3 linked regions of the Bombyx mori genome follow. The protein of the gene in region 3 purifies or fractionates together with the protein of the main gene of each other region. This does not show direct contact. Links are inferred from orthologs where the notes say so. Each region holds a gene or a part of one and is shown on either strand. Other genes may lie near its edges.

Region 1 (8,400 bases), on a different chromosome or scaffold from region 3:
AACGTTATGTTATCACCGATTTTATGGTAGCATTAACGTAACCTTGCGATACACATGTGGCGATTACAATTTTTCTTTTAGTACCCTTATGAATTGCATGAACAAAAAACCTTGTCATTTCGTCCAATACTATCCGGCTGTTAGTGGTTTTAGTCATACAAAATTTATCGTCGCTCCTAACTGGAGGAGGGTTGCTAAAGATACGACAACAATGGAAGATGCTATAGGAGGCCTTTACCAATAGACACACTGAACTGAGAGACATTCTCTAAAATATACAAAAATTAAATCAACAGTCCTAAAAGCTCAGGATAAAGGGCTCATTAACTGATTTACAAGATGCAGGGTGAGAAGGAATCCCCAGTTGGGAAGGCAAAAAGGCTTGACGGTGGCCTAAATACAATTTTGACAAATAAGGTTAAAGAAATCTGTTAGCACACTTCACACAGCAATGAACAAAAAGCTAGGAGCTGGATGAGGTGGCTCAAGGCGTGCCTTACGTGCAAGGCGTGATTTAGTGCCGCAGGTGGGCTCCCATGCCATTTTTTGAATAGCAATGCTTTACTCTATTAAGGCACACTGTTAAGGTGGTACCGGTCCTTGCAGTTTTACAATATACTCTATCTACAGTAAAAACATTCCTTAGAGGATGGATGGAGAGGATAACTTCTTAGAGGATGATGTAGTTGCAAGGCATCGACCCCAAACTAAATGTGTTGATGAAGAGCATTTCGATATTTTTGAAAATCCTAATGATGATATCAGCATGTGTGATATTTAACATGTGTGTTTATTGATATTTTGAGTTACACTTCTTCTTTTTTTCCTATTACACTGCTGGGGTGTAGAACTCTAATCAAATCCTTCCCTTTACATCGGTCTTGGGCAGTCTGTTCTAGCTCCTCCCACGTCATGCCCAAGACGGTTAGCTCCTGCTCCACCAAGCGACACCCAAGTTTTTCTGGGACGGCCTCTCTTCCTTTTGCCAGACACTTTCCACATCAGTGCTCTATTGGATAGGTGGGTATTGGGCTTTCTCTATATGTGGGTATTCAGTATTCAGTTGGTATGGGTTGGTATGAGTACAAAGATGAGGTACGATATGCCTGAATTGGAAAAGAGGATATGCTGCCACAATACTATTTAATCAGGTAAGAGCAAAAAGAAGAAAACAGGAAACACAACAGGCACAGCATAAGTTACTACCGCATATCCCACACAGGCATGTTGGATATATGTTTTTATCAGTATTAAAATTAAAATCACCTCAGTAGCAAAAGTATGGTATAGTCAGCTGCTATGTACTTGACGAATGTGTTAGTCAATATTCTAAATATGTTTGCTTGTCTTGAATCAAAAACGGTTGAAGTTTTGAGTAAAATTGAACACATAGATAACATTACCTACATTAATATGTAGGACAATGTGGGAAATGACATGATCCAGTTAAGGCTCAATATATCTTCTAAATAAATATTACAGTATATTCTCTTGTGGTTCGTGTTTTAAGCCAACTGGTTGTTTATGGAACAGAGAGTGACACAAGTAACTCTTTATCCAAGGAAAATGCTATGTAGTTTATTATTTCTGGATTACAATGTGAATATTTGGAAAAATAAAGCTCATAATTATTCATTATACTTCATTTTGAAACCACACTTTGTACTGGAGAAAGTTATGACTATTTTAGTGTGACTGTCAACATTTACTTGAAATATAGTTATAGTGAAATATAGTAGAAACAAGTTATAATTAAATTATTTTTTTCGTAATAATTTTAACTGTCGTGCTTAAGTTTTTCTCATATTTTAGATGCTAAAGGAAAGATTCATGTTAAATTTGTATAAGATTATTTGAAAACATACAAGCAAAAATTTTTAAATGTTTAACAAATTAAATCAATCTTGAAAAATGTAAAAGAAAAGTTTTAGATGCAGATTTTTTATATTTTTATTTTAAAGTTTAAAATTACTCACATCGACTCTTTTCCATTTATCTATGCTTTTTATCACCTGGTGAAGCTCCTCAAACGTCGTCCGACAAACTAGAAAAATTATATAATTTATATCAAATAAATATTAAATTATCATATTAACAAAATAATTAAAAAAAACAGAAAACACGTAGTACACACCCAAACATTTTAAGTTTTTAGGGTCGATTCTTGCTGAAACAACACTGAATAAAATCACAAATGCAAAAATTAAACTATTCAATCTCATTTTTGTATTAAAAGTTCTTGAATTCTTCTTTAAATTGCGACGAATTAACGATAAATGCGATGAAAATTACAGACGTGTGTTAAAATTAATCTTTTTTTTGACAATTACACGATCTTTAATATTATTGGCCAGTAGAAAAAAATCAGACCGTCCGTATTGGTCGATGAAACTATTAAGCAATCAATTACAAATGAAACATTTTCGGTATTGTTGGCCTATGGAAAAGGACTATCATATTTTACTGCATTATCTTCTAATTTTTCCTTATTGAACTTAATTTGTCTTCAACATTGATTGAAGAAAACAATCAACGATGACAATATATTTGGTGATAAAGGTGTCAATCTACAGTTTTCGTAAAAATATTAATTTCCTAACATTAAAGCATACAGAATAGCTGCTTAACGTTGCGTCAATATTTTGAAGACTATACATAGTTTATTACATTTTGTAGATATTAGTAGGTATAAAGTATAGGTATGTAATCGTTCTACGGCAATATACTTAAAAAAATGGCAATTAAAAATTTGCCTATCGATTACCTACTACATAAAATATATCATTCATACACAATATGTGTTTATATAAGTACTCAATATATATTATTGTAGACGTATATTTACAAAACTATCGCTTTGCACAGGTCCGCGTGGGTGCAACAACCTGCACTAATGATTTTTTCAAAAACTTATATACCTACAATAGAACTCTTCAGACAATGACATAATTTAAATGGTACAACAGAATTGGTTGATTTTGTGTACGTTTTTTTTCATTAGTAATAACGCGTTTACGTTTCTGAGTTCTCGATCGTCCGTTCTCCGGTTTTGCGTCCTCCCCGCGGCCCTCTGTCCTAGCCCCGGGCGTCAGCCGCCAACCCAAACCAACAAAAACCAACAGTTCGCATTCGGTCTCTGTCGACGTAGGACGTTTGCTCAACGTAATGTTAAATTATTCTATGCATTTGAAATTCTTTAAAATCTTAAAGATACCTTAAAAACGTTTGCTATTACGTCGAGAAGTGACGTTCCTGTGATTTATTCGTAGAAAACCGAGAAATTCGAGCATCCAAAGAGGTGAGTGACTGGTTGTCAGATTGCGTCTGCCATTCAAAGCTAATTGTCTATACCATTTATCTATTTTGTTTTGCTTTATATCTCACCTTTTATAGAAATATACCTACAAAGCACCCTTTGCAGACTAGTTATACGCATTGGCCCACACCTGTTCAGATACCATACGTTAACCTTTTGCCGCACGCATAATTAGACCAATGTAACTTCTATTTATGTAACGTTGCAAAGAATTCTTCTTATCACTTGAACGTGTTATGTGCAGTTAGAAAATCTCAATTTCATAATGGTAAATGGCGCGCTGGCCAGTTTCAGACGACCTGGCAACATCAAGCGCGCTAACTATAACAGAAATAAATATCTAGATGTTCTTGTTATTATCATGTAACCGGCATTTCCCTTTGTTTTCCGTGTGAAATCCTCCTTTGTCCTTCGGTAGGGAGCGCTCGATGCGCGAACGTAAAGGAATTTCGACTCTAGAAAAGCGCCATAATACATTGATGATATTGATATACATTATTAGGTTGGGCCATTCGCTCGCGTCGTCGTTCTTACAGCGCCTGTGTTTGTGCGTATCTACGTGGAGGACGTCAGTGTGTTCGTGGTGTAGTTTGTTTATACAGATAGCTACGGAATTCTCGTCTTTATCCCGTTGGCACGTAACATGAAAGTCGAGCGCAGGTCGGCGTCCTCGTCGCTGTTTGTCTATCGATCTCTGCGGTGGCCAATGGCACATGTCGGTACGGTCGTGCGCGGCCGCGCCTCGGTGAAAGCCGGCCGTTCGCTCGACATTTTACAATTTATGTATAAATTCTACATTAAATCAGCTTTTCAACACTATACCTAATATCTTATCGTTTCATGAATTGTTACGTTACATGCATTGCAGTCACCACCCTTCCCTCTCCATATACAGAAAACCACATGATCTACATTATGTTTTCAAATAAGAAAAATACGCGGGACTGTATGATGATAACATTATAAGATAGATAGTGTTTTGTGGAGCCTTGCTTGGAGCTCGAGCGTCACGGCGCTGCGGGGTGGGGGAGGGGAGGGAGGGCCTGAAATAGAAGCGCGGCTTGGAGCGTGCGACGTGGCAACGTCGCCTCTGCGACCGAGCTCAGTGTCGGTTCAAAATGGCGTCTGTGCGTGATCAATACTGTGATATTTGCGTTAAAAATGTGGTGTGTGTGGTCGCAGGACGGCATAAATGCTACCCTGGATCCTCAGGGTGTGCACCCCACACCCAGCCCGGGCTGTCACCCAGCTCACAGTACGTATTACAAACATATTGCGCCGACACTCATCGCTTCATGTATCTAGGTATGACTACCCATATGATTCGTATGGGCAGAGCGACTGTACTACAATCATGCAGTATATTGATAATACATACACAGCGCAAGCCTTAAAGAAGTTCCTAAATATTTTATTATATTACGGTTATAAATGCCTAGACAAGCAAAAAATGTGTCATCACAACGAAACGAATTGCACCATGATGAGGCATGATGTTGATTACGTAATCCCAGAATAATTTATATTGGACCATGTGCTCGTATTGGAAAGGAAGGTTTGAAAGTAGCAAATTGAGAACTTTATAGTGTTTCTTATAATCTTTTAAATTTGGATTACACAGGTTTAAATATAAAACAAAATGGCGGCATACGTGTCCGTATTTAAGGCGTAGTAGATTAAAGTTGGCAACGTCGCATTTCGCGCGCGCCCTCGCGGTGATTGTTAGTAGGCATGTTGATTCGATAAGAAGTTCCAAGGCTAACAGTTTTCGTATTTCCAATGTTTACAACAATGGATAACTTGAATGCGTGATAATAAACGAATAAGTATGTATTCTTGACGTTAAGAATAATTTATTTAATATCAGTAAAACATCGTCCTACGTATAATAAACACGTTAAAAGGTCAAATACTAGTGAGTATAAGTGAGTAAGTAGAGCAAGAGTATAAGTACTAAGTAGAGTATGAGTATACAAACTAAGATGATTCACTATTTATTAGTTTGTGATGGACTGCTTTTGTTCTTAACTGAGAGACTCTTAACATTCTTAATTTTGACCATAACCTGAACAATATAATATGCTTCTTCAATAAATTAGTTTCTTAATTGTAATCACTTAATTTACAAATGTGTTTCGGAATAAAAACTTAAGGATGAACCTTAAAAATTAAGGAAATCTTTTAACGTTACTGGTTTAGGTTTATCAAATGAAATAAATTAAATCCCTGTGATAGTTATTATCTTAGGCTGTTCACCCAATACCTTTGCCTTTAAAGTTAAGTTTAGGCAGTTAAATAAAAATAAAAAAACTTCATAACAAACATTTGCTTACGCACCGCTTAAATTAAACTACATAGTTATGGATTTCAATCGAAAAACAGACTACACAGTGGCTACCAGTAAATCGTTAAAGAGACTATATTCGATTTTTTGAATCGACATTCGTTATTACGATGTACTTAGAAGTCTGTCACCACTTCGATAAAGAGGCACGACACGAGAACCCTCTTATTGTGGCCGCCGGTAACTACATTCCCGATCCTGCGGAAAGAATGAAAAGCAGTCGACGTCACCCCAAACACGTCAATTTCGGATCCTCCCAATCCACTAACGGTGCTTTTAGGTACCTCAAGCACCGGTCACCGTTCTCGTTGAACCCAGCGCTTGCAACGAAGGGCTCGTCGAGTAAATTAACCCTTAGACACAGCCTACTGAGTTTCTCGCCGGTTTTTTTTCAGTGGGTCGCGTTTCCGATCCGGTGGTAGATTCTGCGAAGGACGGCTCTTGCTAGGGTTCGTGTTAGCAACGTCGTCAGGTTTGAGCCCCGCGAGCTCACCTACTAGTTAAGGTTACGCTGAAATAGCCTCTCAAAGCTATCAGCTTAGGTAGGAAAAAAAAGTCTGTCACAAAAAACAATAAAAAAATACAAATATCTAGTCAAGATTCACTAAGAATTAGGTGGTTGGCTGATCTCATCTTCGTAATAACCAAAAGGTTTAGTGTGGGACATAATATGGAAAGAGCATTGGAGATACAATTCAAATAGGTTTTTTTTTGTCCTACCTACTCTGGTAACATAGGGGCTTATGCCAGCATAACCGGGGAAATAACAACAGATCGTGTACCTACTATGTACTGGTTTGTGCAGCGAAATGTAAATGCGTCGTTGCCATATTAAAAAAAATAGTTCGCGCGGTCTTGCATGAAATCACGTTAATAACTTCCTTATTTCCAAACATAATTTTTGTTTTCATCAGTTTTAGGTGTAAAAAGATTGTTGTGTTTTTAGTCTCGTTACAAGCTTGAAGTATTGCGAAATTGTTATTTAATATGACCCTTTTCTTCGATGTTTTCTCCACAATTGTTCTTTATAACATAGCACTGGTTTTTTTCGACAATTAATGCACAAATAGGGAGATATCCTTCAAGCGGGCTGATGAAACAGGCCCGGTTGCGTTACCACTCAATTCACGTATGTATTTTGATATTTGAGGTCATCAGCGCAAAAGTGGCCTAACCCACATTTTTTTTACATTCAAGCATATATGACGTATATTGGAGTTTATTTAAAATATAATAAATTTTTATGCAAGACCGGCCTATCCATAGTTTCGTCCATAGATAACAGATAGCTTTGTAAACATTATTTTTGCGCGGATTGTTTTCTTGCTTACTCAAATTTAAATTCATGAAAATTCAAACCTAATTGCCTCCATACTAACTATGATAAGCTTAGGTCACTTTTGCGCTGACGGCCTCATTTCTACCTTACTTAAATGCACCGATCTGGTCCGCTGTGCTGGTCGACCTATGTTCAGACTGAATCAAACAAGCCAAACTTCAGAGGAACTTCCGCTAGACCAGTGGTCGGCAACCTGCGGCTTTTCCGCGATATTTCAAACACGAAATATTACTTATTATCTTTCCTCGTAAGAGACCGGTACACATTTTTCAAACACAAGGCTATAAAAGCGTAAGTTAAAAATAAGGCTTTGAATAAATGTTCAATTGTGCATTATCTATATTTGTCTCTTATAGTTGACAAGGTCGCCCACAACTGGCCTAGATCGATCTGAAAATTTCATCAGCCGTTACGGAATCTATGAGGAATATACACCGATTTATATATATCTATACTAATATATAAATGTGCTATACTAATATATAAATCTATACTAGTATATAAATGTGCGCTAAAGTGGTTTTTACCGATAATCCGTTATAAATAATGAACCATGCATCCGATTGACTTGAAACTTGGTATCCATGTAGAAAATACATGTACTTCATGGATAGGCTAATATTTATGAGTGGTGGACTCCCTACATCAGTTGTGGGGATGAGAAATAATAAAGTTAATTTTAAATGGCCAGCGAAACGGACGGTGCTGCTAGTTTTTAAATAAAGATAACGAAGAAAATGTCCGTGTGACATTTCGACTTCACAGCATGTTGTTTTTATTTATTTATTTATACAGCAGGAATAGATTTGTTTTTCTGTTACGCATTTCACGTTTCGATGAGTTTAATACTCTTTATCACTCATTGTTATGACGTGAATGACGATGGATGATGTCAGCTTTGGCTGAGAAATTGCGACTCTGACATCTGCGTACCTCGTATGCAGTTCAATTACATACTATTCAATTAACCTATTTACTGGTGGTAGGACCTCTTGTGAGTCCGCACGGATAGGTACCACCACCCTGCCTATTTCTGCCGTGAAGCAGTAATGCGTTTCGGTTTGAAGGGTGGGGCAGCCGTTGTAACTATACTGAGACCTTAGAAATTATATCTCAAGGTGGATGGCGCATTTACGTTGTAGATGTCTATGGACTCCAGTAACCACTTAACACCAGGTGGGCTGTGAGCTCGTCCACCCATCTAAGCAATAAAAATTCCTTCGCTCTGATAGGTTCTACTCAGCGATCTTTCCTTGAGATTTTTTTTCTTAGCCTAGGGTCCTTTCCTAAGGAGCTATTACAACTATGCGTGGTGAGGTCATGGACTCAATCTGAGGAAATTGCTTATTCTGAGCACTGCTTCACTGAATCTACTATCACCGCATCGGAATCGCGATCCAC
Region 2 (7,268 bases), on a different chromosome or scaffold from region 3:
TATCCTATGCGACAAGAACAAGGAAGAAAAAGATCAGAAGGGTTTTATAGACTACCAAGAAAATAAGGCTGTCCTACCCAATGGTATCACAATAGATCTCTCTGCCATGGGTAAGAAAACCAAGAGACCATTCAGGTCACCCGTCAATCATTAGATTTAGGTATTGTATATTTATTTTAGGGACTATTTTTATAGTAGGTACATTTTAATTGTCATTAAATTGTGTCGACATTAACTCAATTTGTTGTTTATAAACAAGGAATCTGTTAAGGTTTATAAACCAACAAATTAGGTGCAATCAAAATAAAATTATTAAAGTGATAATTTGTTTTATTCATGGATTATTATATTCAGCAAAAAGAAATAAAGGAAATTGTTTCTGAACTTGAGTACATGCATGTTTTTTATTTAAAAAAATTGTGCTGCATGTACTACATGCTAATTAAAATGTGAGAAAAAGCTTTCATCATACATACCTGACGTCAGATGGAGGGGTGAAATGCCATTTGTTTTTAAAAAAAACTTCAGCTAATTGATTGGGGTCAACTTAATTAAAGTTCCATGATAAATGTCGCGTATTAAACGAAATCTCGCTTATATCAGATAGCCTTTCACCGCTCGATATGATAGTTGAACTTTTGTAGTGGGGAAAAAACTAAATCTTTTAAAAATGTTCACCACAGCGATGCTCTGGTTCTATATTTATGAAGGTTCTTGCGGGCGCGAGTATCGCCAACAGGTGATCAAAAAGAAGGGCAGGCCGAGGCTAGGTAATGAGAAGTAGACGTACCTAACAGCCCGTCGCTGGCTTCTTGCAGGCTGCAGAATCCAAGAAACGTGACTGGTGGCCGACGCGTATTGGCGGCGCTCGGCCTAACGGCTTGACAGCTCTCCTCTAATTTATTTGTGTTCGCTAAGCCGGTGTAACACTCGGACAATGACGAGGATGATCGCCCGTAGCAGTTCATAAGAGAAAAGTACATAGTGAAATTCCAAAAAAATAATAAGATGAAAATACGGCGGGTCCGTGCACAATGCGCGCAGTGCGGTCGGCGAGTCTTTTTTTTCTTTGTCTTTTTTTTTATAACTGGCCATGCAATAGGTTTTATGTCTACAACAAAAAAATAATTAATATATATACCTTCTAAATTTTATTAATATACCAGGTCAGCTGTGAGAATAATTGCCTATTGATAAAAAAAAATCCATAACTCAGGAAGGAAATTATAAGTGTTAAAACAGTATTTGAAGTAGACCTTTGGTTTTTTTGGACCTGATATTATAAATTTGTTTTTGTAATTACAAACACAAAGGGGAATGCCCATTTCAGGCCCAAGGTGGACAATAGATTAGAGAAAAAATACTTAGTGCATTAATTTTGTCATAAATAAATATGCATTTAATTTCTTCCAAATGAGCGCCACTGCAGTTTACATTAAATAATTTAAAAAAAGTAACTCTATTGAAAAAACAAGTTTTTGATTTTTGCGGGAAAAATATTGCCAGTTTGAAACCTTTTACGTATTAAGTAAACATTTTAAGTGCATAAAAAAAAATATAAATAAAACATTTTAAGTATTAACATTAATCAATGGATTTTAATCGATTATAAGCACATAAAATAACATCAAAGACATACCCATTAGACTTCAACTTGTAACCTTAAATACTTGAGACCTTATAACTTATATTTCAAGGTGGCGCATTTACATTGTAGATGTCTGTGGACTCCAGTAACCACTTAACACCAGGTTGGCTGTGAGCTCGTCCACCCATCTAAGCAGAAAAAAAACCCACCTTGAGATATAAGTTTGCACCTACCACTATTCACTCTGCACTACCTTTGGTTGACTGGTAGAGAATGCCTTAGGCATTAAGTCCGCCAATGTAAATTTTATATGAAGTGTAATAAATAAAAATAAATAAATAAATAAGTTCTAAAGTCTCAAGTATAGTTACAACGGCTGCCTTCAAACCAAAACGCATTACTGATTCACGGCAGAAATAGGCAGGGTGGTGGTACCTACCCGCGCGGACTCACAAGAGGTCCTACCACCAGTAATTACGCAAATTATAATTTTGCGGGTTTGATTTTTATTACACCATGTTATTCCTTCACCATGGATGTCAATCGTGAACATTTGTTAAGTATGTATTTCATTAGAAAAATTGGTACGCGCCTGAGATTCGAACACCGGTGCATCGCTCAACAAGAATGCACCGGACGTCTTATCCGTTAGGTCACGACGACTTCAAAATAATTAAAATAAAAACCTGACTGACTGACACTTCGCTTGCTGCTTGTGCTCACAACGGAAAAATGGTGCGTAAAATGGATGCGTTTTGATTTTTCCTCGATTTATTTTACTGACTTTGTTTTATGGATTTTATCCTCCCTTCAACGACGACTTTGGCTCAGGAGTTAAAGATCACAGCTACATTCGATTATGGATACCGATCAATAATGTTTCATACTACGACTAAGACATAGTGTGAATTGTGGTTTTAAACTGAACGAGACTCATAACCGTGGATATGCCCTCCTGCGCTATTTTTAGATGATTTATTAATTGTGTATGAAGATGAAGAAAACATAGATATTTAGAAAAACATGTGTTTTTTATACCCTAATAACTACAATTGGATAAAATTACATTAGGAACATCTCCCTTATCATAATTAATAAATTAAACATTAATAAAAGAAAAGTTCTTGAAGTAACTCATAATCCAACACTTATTTATATAGAAAATAAACCTCAAAACGATTTTTTTATTTTATTTTATTTTTATAATAGTGGTGTCAATTTCAATATATTTTTTAGATATCCAATATATTTAAGAAACAGTCCATTTTTATAGTAATATTTGATGTCCATCTTGGGCCCAGAACACTATGGAGAGTGGGTGTTCCCCTTTATAATAGTAATTTAATGAAATCCAACTTCACCCTTTAAATCAAGTGAAAGAACACAGTTGATACACATTCTTTTATTAAACTTAATTATCAGTACTGACGATTATTAATATATGGTTGTGGACGCCTCATTGGTGGTGGCATTCTGTTTGGGGGTGTTATTGAGATGTCTAGATAGTTCCCAATTTGAAATTTCAGTTGTGAAAGTGTCTTGTTATCATCGCCTCCTCTCTGTCCGGAACATGTAACTCCTATTTCCCTCATACGATATGTAGGGGAACGCATATCAGGATACACAATGGCAAAATCAAAGTATGTGCCTTTCCGTCTCGTCTCAGGATTAACTTCTTTTACAAGTCCTGTAAGTTCTCGCAGTGTAGCATCCATCCATGTATATATTTGTAATTCATTCTGAGGTACGTTTCCTCTAACATAGTCTCCAGGAGAATTATGTCGGCCAGTTGAACAAAACACACGGAGCAATAGAGGACAGGTCTGAAACATTTTAGGTTAAATTTATATCTCTATATAATCAGGAAAAAGCATAACAAATTTCCTCCTCTGTCAATTCAATTATTGTGTTTTATTTATAATCCTAATGAACGAGCTTTAGTGTTATCGAAAACAAATAGATTGTTACTTTATATCTCACATTTACAAGAAAAAATGTCAATTACGAAACAAAAAAGAACAGAGTGCTTTAGTAGACACAACGGATTTGAATGTTCTGTTGATTATTATGGTCAAATTAAAATCAGTTGGCGAACATTAATTTAAAGTAAATGCTGTTTATAGTAAAAAATAATCAATTATATTGTTTAACAAAGTACCTTTTCTCTGTCCACCGGTTTTTCTGTCGGTTTAATTTCTTCAACTACCATTGATTCTAATCCCGCCATTTTCATAATATTTGGAGAATTGTGGTCCTACTTAATTTTTCCAACTTAAGTAATTATTTAAATTATGCGAGTCTTTAAATACATGTACCGGTAAAATGGGGCGATTAGGGATTGAGAGGCGAATCGGGAAAAAACTGGGAAAATCTTTCGACGCTCAATATAAGTTTTATATTCGTTGCAAAATCTTCCATTTTTTGTAGTTTAATAGTAGAATGTTGAAAGTTCACAAAACAACTCTGAATATGCATGATAATAGCTGCTAACTTATAAAAAATCGCGTTTCAAATTAACTTCCTGTGGTGGTAATTATTTTAGTGCTAGAAACTTTGCTCTCTTTTATTTATTTGATAATAATAGAAAACGACTATGATTTATAAACGTTATTTAGTGTTTGAACCAGCATATATATTAAAGGTAAGTCTCAGTTGTTATTGGTTTTAATGTATTTGATTAAATAAAAATACATGTAAAAATCTGTTGTTTTGGGGATATTGGGGACGGCTTAGGTACAAATAACAACGAAAAAGGGGTCAATTGGGATGAGAATACGTGAAATGGAAACGAACTAAGTATAAATAGGTACAGGTTTGTAGGGTTGTCTATGTAGTTATAACAATATTTTTTAAATTTGTTGGTAAAAATCTGGTTTATTCGAAGCGAAATTGGGAATAAGTCTTTATTTGAAATAGATAAGCAATTTAATATAAGTAAGTCAATTTTGGAGAGACATGTAACAAGATCAATGAAATCTCAAGGTGGACAAAAATGTCTAAGTAATACATAATAAAATATTTAATATTTGTTCAGAGTGGGGGTATTCATCTGATTAATCCATGGAATAACCGACACACCTAATCTCTTAACCCAGATAGAAATATCAGCACTGTCGATTGCACCTATAATTGAGGTGATGTCTGCCATGTACTTTTGTCAGTTTTTCAATTTTTTTTATTGATGATCACTTTGTTGGTGCAACTAAATAAATAAATAAATTAAAACTATATATAAAAATAAAAGTAGTGCCAACCCTAGCAAATTTCTCATTTCGTCCCAATTAACCGCAATTTTCGGGTAAATAGGGATTACACCTATTTTTGCATTTTTTGCTTAAACTGGAATGCTAGTTCCATAATTTTAAATTAGACAACAAAGATGCCCCCAAGACTCAATCATTTTGATCCTGATATAGCATTATATACATCAACAACTACCTTAAAATTGATCATAAAGTTGGAATTTGTCCCTAATCGCCCCATTTTACGGTACCTTTAAACAATTTCTGATGATAAATGATTTTTTTTTTGAAGGGCTTTTATGACCTGGTAACTAAGACCTTTAGGTCAAGTATTATTTTAATTTTAATGATACGTAACTTTTTTAAATGAAAATGATATTATGAAATAAAATGAAGTTGATTATAATGAAACCTAAAGTGAAATGAAAACGAAATGAAATGACATGAGATGAGATGATATGGGATGAAGCATAATCTCAGTAAAATGGTGGTCATTTACTGAGACTTTTTCAGTGGACTTTTTGGAAGATCCCGAGAAGTTACGTTCAGTGGCTTTGTTTTATTTTCCCAAATTTGTGCACTTTCACAGATACTAAACAGTTAATAAACCACCGCTATTACACATTTAAATCTGAAGAAACACTAACTAGACAAAATAAAACAAATCACACAACTTCACTCCTCGCGTTCCCGCCAAAAGTCCATTATAAATGAATTGGTTGACTTAGCCATAGATAATACACATAATTTAAGGTCTTATATTATTTGTATTATCTATAGCTAAGCCATTATACCTACTCGAAGCGGACTCGAGAAGCGAACTTCTTGGGATGCATTATTGCTAGCATCGAGTTTGTTCAATCCAAAATTAAATATCAAACTTATGATAGCAAATTTTATAAACATGACCGAGAGAACAATTAATGTTATATTGAGATATAAATTTCATTACCATTATTTAAATGACATGTTTGACCTAAAGGTTGGAAGTACCAGGTCATAAAAACCAAAAAATTTAATAAAAATAAACGACATGTTGTTATAACTAGAAATTTATGACCATGAAGACTAAGGCCATATGTTCGAAGTCGTCGTGATTTAAAGGATAAGACGCCCGTCGTGGATCGAACGATGTGACTAATCGACTATCTCATTGTCAGTATTCAAATCTTGCAGAGAGGTTGCATTTTCTAATTAAATATGTACGTAATATATTATGTAAAGTTCACGAATACTTCCAACTACTCAGAAAATATTTCCATATCAGCTATTACTTTATAATGAGTATCGATGATTTTTTTCTTTTTGATACAAAAAACCATTTCGAGGAATAGGTTGCTGTTAATGAATATATTATAATATGAGCCAAAAGAAATAAAGTTGATTTATTAAAGATTGTAATCATTTGAGGTGAAACTAACTGAAACGACATGAGATGAGAGATGAAAGATTATGAACACAACCAAATGTTACTAAAAAAGGTTCAGTTTTTTTTTTCCTACTTATGCTGATAGCCTTGAGTGAGAGCCTATTTCAGCTTCGCCCTAACGTGTAGGTGAGCTCAGGGGGCTCAAATCGGAGTGTTGCTAACACTGGCCCTAGCAAGAGCAGTGTTTCGCAGAACCTACTACCGCATCGGAAGCGCGACCTACTGAGCAGATCCGACGAGAAACTCAGTGGGCTGTGTCTGTGGGTTAATTCGCTCGTCGAGCCCTTTGTCGCAGGGGACGGGTTCGACGAGGACGATGACCGATGCTTGTGGTACCATTCAGTCTACAAGATCGGGTATGTAATTTCCAGCGGCCACGACAAGAGGGTTCCCGTGTCATGCAGCCTTCTCAAAGTGGCGCAATGATGCCGACTCTAGATATTTACTGACTAAGTCGAGCTCCAGGTCATAATGGAGATCCACGTTCCTTACCATGGTGCTCCGACGGCTATCCTGCAAAACGGGATTGAATAACCTGAAGGGATTTGAAGTTGGTGCGGGCCGCGTGAGCGAACACTACACTTGCATACGTCATGGCGGGGCATATGCAAGTTTTGTAGAGAGATTCAGTAAAATGGTGGTTATATACTATGACTTTTTGGACTTGTTTCATTTTTCATACTTGTGCACTTTCACAGATACTAAGCTACCTTTTATTCTAAAAAGGATGTCATTGTCCTCATAAACTACACTGACATTGTTTCACAGCCACGTGGACGAAACCGCGGCTAACGGCTAGTAATTTCTATCACTATTTTATTAATTGTATAGCTAATGTTTCCGTTACTGAAGTACAATATCTCTGATAACATGTTTCGATTATTGTACACCGCATTAATAAATAAGTCATAAAAGTGTTCAAAACTACCTATAGATAATAATACACATAAACTAGTAGACTACCGTCATTTTATATTAGCAGTGTCTTTAGGTTGTCAATAAGATCATA
Region 3 (6,481 bases):
TAACGCCCCCAACTGGTGTAGGGAGTCCAACACTCATATAAATATTAGCCTATCCATTAAGTACATGTATTTTCTACATGGATACCAAGTTTCAAGTCAATCGGATGTATGGTTCAGTAGTTATAACGGAACATCCGTAAAAACCACTGTAGATTTATATATTAGTATAGACTTATAGATTTCTTCTATGCGTGTGTATGTCACTGAGCTCCTCCTAAACGGCTGGACCGATTTGAATGTTTTTTTTGTATGCGTTTGGGTGGCACCCTGGATGGTTTAGATTCACAAATCAGCCCGGCAGATGGCGCTACAGGCGGTATCTAGGTTATTTATCTATACTACAACTAAACGGCTGGATCGACTTGAATGAATTTTGCAGGACGTCTGTCGAGTCCGCTAGTCCCTTTATTATATTGAATAATAATTTTTGTATAATATTTAGTGACGGTAAAACCTTTTGATTCCGCGCGGTTAGGTACCACCACCCCGCCTATTTCTGCCGTGAAGCAATAATGCGTTTCGGTTTGAAAAGTGGGATAGTCGTTGTGACTATACTGTGGCCTTAGAACTCATATCTCAAGGTGGGTGGCGACATCTACGTTGTAGATGTTTATGGGCTTCAGTAACCACTTAACACCAGGTGAACTATGAGCTCGTCCAACCATTTGTGCAATAAAAAATAACTTTAAATTTTAAAATTACTAAAAATATTCAAATGTCAAATTCTCATTCGCTTTTCCATGTGAGCAATGATTTATTGTGTTGTGAGTAAACATTCACACTCATTACCAGTGGTTGGAGTAGGTAGATTGATTTTATATACTTGTGTCAAGATATTACAATATGGACATGTCATTTTATCCATAATGGTTTTTTTTTTAATGGAAAAAAAAACATTTTTAAGCCTCATCGGATACAATTTCTTTATTTATGAGATAAAGTAACAAAAAGCCCTGTCTAAATTTTGTCTCATACTGACAAGCGTCATTTCTAAGTCAACAGAAAGGGACAAAATATATTCCAAGGTGTTTTTGTATAAAATAAAATACAGATTTCTTTCACCATTAGCTAAGACTGTGTAGGGATATATACGACAAAGGGAAGATCTTCCACCGAGCAGATGATATTGCTCGGTAGACCGACGGTCCAAATGTTGTTGTTCGGAACTTGTATATATGCGCTTTATCTTGAAAATGTCGTAAGCGAGATTCAGGCATCTGTCAATTATCTTGCGTTGTATGATGGCTACCCGCCACAACTGGTAGCGTAGATTAATATTATTAACGCGTTTTTCACCTCAAACACAGATTCCAGCTAATTTCAAAATTCCGGAACAAATATCACAATAAATATGAAGTTCCGGTATTTTGGAGGCGTATCCATATTATCTTCTACGTTTGACGTCAACGACCTTAAATCAATCTACCTACTCCGACCTCTACTTATTACACATGTCAATTACATCTTCTATATTAATTATTTGAGTTTTCTTTGTAACTTGAACCTACCTGATCTACCAACGAAGTGTTTCCAACGTGTATATTGAGTTTGACGAGGACCCTCTGGTCGGTATGCTCCTCCAGTATGGGGGGAGGCTCGCTCGGGAAGGCATCGATCTGTTGCCGGATCGAGGAGGCCACAGCAGGTATGAAGGTGCTCGTGTTCAACTCTAAATCATCGCACAGCACCTCGGCAAACTGTTCTGGTGTTATTATTGATTCTGGAAAACAATCCTCCAATTTTTTATTTATTCAAAAACTTGTTAATAGGCTGCCTGCAATCCTTGTGAGAAAAAGCCTCAGACACAGCCCACTGAGTTTCTCGCCGGATCTTCTCAGTGGGTCGCGTTTCCGATCTGGTGGTAGATTCTGCGAAGCACACGGCTCTTGCTAGCGTTCGTGTTAACAACGTCATCACGTTTGAGCCCCGTGAGCTCACCTACTAGTTAAGGCAACGCTGATATAGCCTCTCAAGGCTATCAGCTTAGGCAGGAAAAAAAAGTGGGAACATACACATTATGGATATAAAAATTAAGGAGCGTATTCCTAAATTTATGTAAGGGTTGTGCTAAAAGAACAATATAGAATGAAAACGATAAAACATTAAAAATATTTTAACCAAATTTGCAGGGCGCATTGGAACTGTTCTGTGATCCAAGACAGTTGGACAAGGTCCTCCTGATCTTCAACACTTACTGCAGACCAACAATTTTCATTAAGCATGATTAAAGAACTTTATAAAGAATAGTTATAGTTAAAGATATAAGAAAATGTTATTATATATTTTCAATTGACAGTCGATACAATTCACAGTAAATACAGCCAATCTATTTATAATTTGGTAGACAGCAATTACACATTCTATTATTCAAATACTTTCTGAAATCAAAAATTGAGAATAAACAACCAGAATTGGTAACAAATGCAGTTAAACATACCATTTTTATTCCATGTAAATGTATCCCTGAGTTTTTGACCCTCAATCTCCATGTCCAATCGAATCGGTACAAGCACCTGCTTTTGCGAAGCATTCTCCAGCATTGCAGTCATGTCTGTGTCATCGAAACACAGTGGGAATGTTCTCACCTGAAAAGTATTCATTTTATGCTAGTTTTAATAATGATACTTTAGAACTATAGTATATTACATTAATTCCAATGTTCCATTTCAAAATCTGTTATTTATCTTACGATGTGTCTCTGATTTTGAGATATTCTATCTATCTTATCTATCTATCCTGAATCAGAAGCTAAATTAAATGTGTTGTGTTGACCTTAGAGTGTGGCCCCATGTCAAACATGATTAACTAGATAAACCTAGGAGTCAGAACCTGAAGCCCAACTGGACTTTAAGTTTTGACTTTAACATCCATTTTACCTTCTTATTATGCACCCTACTCCTGCTGATTGGAGTAGCCTGGGGTACAGCATCCAAATGAGAAGAGTTTGGCATGACTGGCAGCCATGATGGAGTGTGTGGCTTCTTGCTTTTGCTCTCACGGGGTGTCGCCAACTCTTGGCTGACGGACACTGCTTTGTATCTATAAATTAATTTAAAGCTGTGTCATAGCTGTAAATAGTTTAATGGACAACTGCTGTTTCATATACAATTCATAGTATTTAAGATTTCCTTGATATGCACACAGCAACTGACCAGAACCGATGGAGACTGGCACAGCTGAAACAGAGTCACAATCCTCAGCAATGAGGGAGCGATGAAGAAGAAAGATATGCACACATTTTGTTTTTTTTTTTATTGTCCTTAAAATAAGACAAACATACAATTCTTCTGATGGTAAGTGGTTAATGTCGTTCGTGGACTTCAATAGTGCCAGGTGCTCACCAAAACTTAAAGGTCTAATATTTCGACTGACTACTTCAGGTAGCTTCACTTATCATCAGATGGATTATGAACTCGTTCACCTGTCTATGCTAACACAGCAATTGTCGGTTTTAACCGCTTTCAATAGTTCACAAAATGTTTATAATGACGTACTTATCATCATTCCCTTCAATAATGTCTTCAACTTCTGACGCCTTCAACAGTGAAACTGAACTGGACAGCACATGAGGACCAAGACCGTTGTCAATTAATCGCTTACGTTCTTCATTGGTGAGGGTACGCCGGCACATGCCAGGGTACTTCTTGTAGAGTGACCCACGGAACAAGCGCAGGTAATTCCCGACCTAAGGCAATAGTTAATTTTTTTGCATTTTTAAGCGGGCATAAGACTAATCAAAATACAAAATCTGGAAATCTCAAGTTAAAACTGCTGTTTTCGACACCACAATATAATTTTGCATTGCTTTTAATTAAAACCACTGTTATTGTTTAATCATTTAAATTTTTTGTCATAACAATTTACAGTAGTTAGAACAGTGTTAATATGCCATGAAAAATGATAATGAAATGAATATAATAAATATGAAATTAGACCTTTTTTTATACAATTCAGAAACACTGAAGAAAATACATCATTGCTCATCTAAAAAAATAAGAGCAGAAACAGCATTGGGTGCCACAACTTGTTTTAATTTGCACTGCAAGCAATCACTGTCGTTTACTTATTCAATATAATTCATAATGGCGCTTTAGAAAGTTCTACTGTAGAATAGAAGATTATAGTGAGAAACTTCACATGAACACTGAATTATGCAACTAGATACAGAAAAAAGATAAAAAGTACAGTATGGTATCTTAAGCCAGTAGTTAAAATGGACTGGTAAACTTTCATGATTTGTATCTCTTTAACTAAAATCTTAGGTTTCTTAGCTAATGATGTTATTGTACATGTATATGTATTTGGGATTTTGTTAAATATGGATCTGTTTACTGGATTACTTACTCGATTATTGCTAAGAAAATGAGTTTTAAAGAATTGTCATTAAAGGGCAACATAATTATTACAGCTCAGTTTTGCCTTCTACAGAAATTCCTTAGTTATTTTATCTCCAAAATTTGTATTCCATTTTCATAAGGGTGATATAGACCTATTGTTCTATTTTTTATCTTATACTTTGATGGACAATAAACTATAGTCTGCTTTACAGTAATGGAAACCAAGCCTCATCGAAATAAGAATAATTCTAAAAGGCAAGTTTGTATAATAGACCAGATTGAGGTTAGGAACGATGTTCTTCGACAAAAGAAAGACTAGCTCCGTTAGTGAATGAAATAATTTTTAATAACGTATCTTTAAAATTATGTTTCGAGTAGTTCGATGTATTTTTAATCAAGAAATGTATGGAACTTACCTCTGAGCCAACACAATAAAAGTCTCCTCCTTCTTCGATTTGAAAACTTATCGGCTTATCGCCGTACGTACGTAAGGCCATTTTTGTAGTTGTGTTGTTCCTTTGATAAAATAATTACATTTACTTCAAGAATTGTAATGTTAATTTGGTAAGGGTAAAATTTATAAATCGTTTCTGTGAATATGTATATATGTATCCAATTATTTTTTTAATTTTATGACCTGGTAACGTACACCTTTAAGTCATATATTATTTTGGAAAGCTACTGGACGTAACTTCTTGGGATTCACCCAAAAGTCCACTGAAAAAATCTCAGTGAATGACCATCATTTTACTGAGATTATATTTCATCCCGTCTCATCTTATTTCCTTTAATTTCATCCCAGTTGATCCCTTTAATATATGTCTCAAATATTAATTTAAATTAATTTGAGACATTCTTGACATCTTCATTTCATTTCATTTCATTTCACTCCATATTATCAGTTTTCATAAAAATAAGAATATAAATTATAATAAGATATAAATTAGAATAAGAAGATTAAAATAAGATAATGACTTAAAGGTCTAGGCTACCAAGTCATAAAATAAAAAAACATTTTATTTGATTTTTTTTAAGAGATTTTATGACCTGGTATCTAAGACCTTTAAGTCATGTCTTATTTTACTTTATATTCTTAATTTTATGAAAAATGATAATATGGAGTGAAATGAAATGAAGATGATTAATTTGAGACATTAATCAACTGGGATGAAATTTAATGAAATGAGATGATATGGGATGAAATACAATCGTAGTAAAATGGTGGTCATTTACTGAGATTTTTTCAATGGACTTTTTGGAGGGACCCGAGAAGTTACGTCCAGCAGCTTTGTTTCATTTTCCCACATTTGTGCACTTTCACAGATATTAAACAGTTAATAAACCACCGTTATTACACATTTAAACCTGAAGAAACACTAAATAGACAAAATAAAACAAATCACACAACTTCACTCCTCGCGTTCCCGCCAAAAAGTCCTATTTTAATTGATTTTTTTTTTTTTAAGAGATTTTATGACCTGGTAACTAAGACCTTTAAGTCATGTCTTATTTTACTTTATAGTCTTAATTTTATGAAAAATGATAATATGGAGTGAAATGAAATGAAGATGATTAATTTGAGACATTAATCAACTGGGATGAATTTAATGAAATGAGATGATATGGGATGAAATATAATCGCAGTAAAATGGTGGTCATTTACTGAGATTTTTTCAGTGGACTTTTTGGAGGAACCCGAGAAGTTACGTCCAGCAGCTTTGTTTCATTTTCCCACATTTGTGCACTTTCACAGATATTAAACAGTTAATAAACCACCGTTATTACACATTTAAACCTGAAGAAACACTAAATAGACAAAATAAAACAAATCACACAACTTCACTCCTCGCGTTCCCGCCAAAAAGTAATTTAGTTCATAGACTATACACAAACACATATTGTTAGCATAGAGTATGATTGTATATAACTAATATAACCTAAATTTTTAGTCTGAAATTAAATGTCGTAGGGGAGTGTCGTCGCAGTCGTTGCGAATTTCAAAAGTGCTCGAAAAAAGAGACCATGTCTTCACGGCAAGGAACATTCAAAAACCCATTCTCCAGACCGTGGATGTCGGAGACAGGTGCAGCGGCTGCGGCTGGTGGTTCGGGTTCAGTAGGCTTAAAGGGAGTTGTAGCCGGCGG

Evidence for each region. The genes of interacting proteins can lie anywhere in the genome.
Region 1: the proteins of SWI/SNF-related matrix-associated actin-dependent regulator of chromatin subfamily B member 1-A (region 3) and paired amphipathic helix protein Sin3a purify together in Homo sapiens (affinity purification with western blotting; 3 studies listed by BioGRID, with this or other methods). This does not show direct contact. The link is inferred for Bombyx mori from reciprocal best matches to the Homo sapiens genes SMARCB1 and SIN3A.
Region 2: the proteins of SWI/SNF-related matrix-associated actin-dependent regulator of chromatin subfamily B member 1-A (region 3) and histone deacetylase complex subunit SAP18 fractionate together in Homo sapiens (co-fractionation; 3 studies listed by BioGRID, with this or other methods). This does not show direct contact. The link is inferred for Bombyx mori from reciprocal best matches to the Homo sapiens genes SMARCB1 and SAP18.

The regions. Positions count from the first base shown.
Region 1 is NC_085108.1:989,549-997,948, forward strand, and holds the start of paired amphipathic helix protein Sin3a, read left to right. Parts: upstream 1-3,125; 5' UTR 3,126-3,298; intron 3,299-4,385; exon of another isoform or gene 4,386-4,571; intron 4,572-8,400. Other genes in the region: protein seele, read right to left, coding at 1,977-2,044, 2,135-2,222. UniProt on the Homo sapiens protein: Acts as a transcriptional repressor. Corepressor for REST. Interacts with MXI1 to repress MYC responsive genes and antagonize MYC oncogenic activities. Also interacts with MXD1-MAX heterodimers to repress transcription by tethering SIN3A to DNA.
Region 2 is NC_085129.1:7,370,833-7,378,100, forward strand, and holds histone deacetylase complex subunit SAP18, read right to left. Parts: upstream 4,070-7,268; 5' UTR 3,822-4,069; coding exon 3,747-3,821; intron 3,412-3,746; coding exon 3,007-3,411; 3' UTR 2,976-3,006; downstream 1-2,975. Other genes in the region: uncharacterized protein LOC101740121, read left to right, coding at 1-154. UniProt on the Homo sapiens protein: Component of the SIN3-repressing complex. Enhances the ability of SIN3-HDAC1-mediated transcriptional repression. When tethered to the promoter, it can direct the formation of a repressive complex to core histone proteins.
Region 3 is NC_085122.1:12,048,995-12,055,475, forward strand, and holds the start of SWI/SNF-related matrix-associated actin-dependent regulator of chromatin subfamily B member 1-A, read right to left. Parts: upstream 5,010-6,481; 5' UTR 4,835-5,009; coding exon 4,754-4,834; intron 3,686-4,753; coding exon 3,495-3,685; intron 3,040-3,494; coding exon 2,877-3,039; intron 2,586-2,876; coding exon 2,438-2,585; intron 1,721-2,437; coding exon 1,509-1,720; intron 1-1,508. Other genes in the region: putative tricarboxylate transport protein, mitochondrial, read left to right, coding at 6,360-6,481.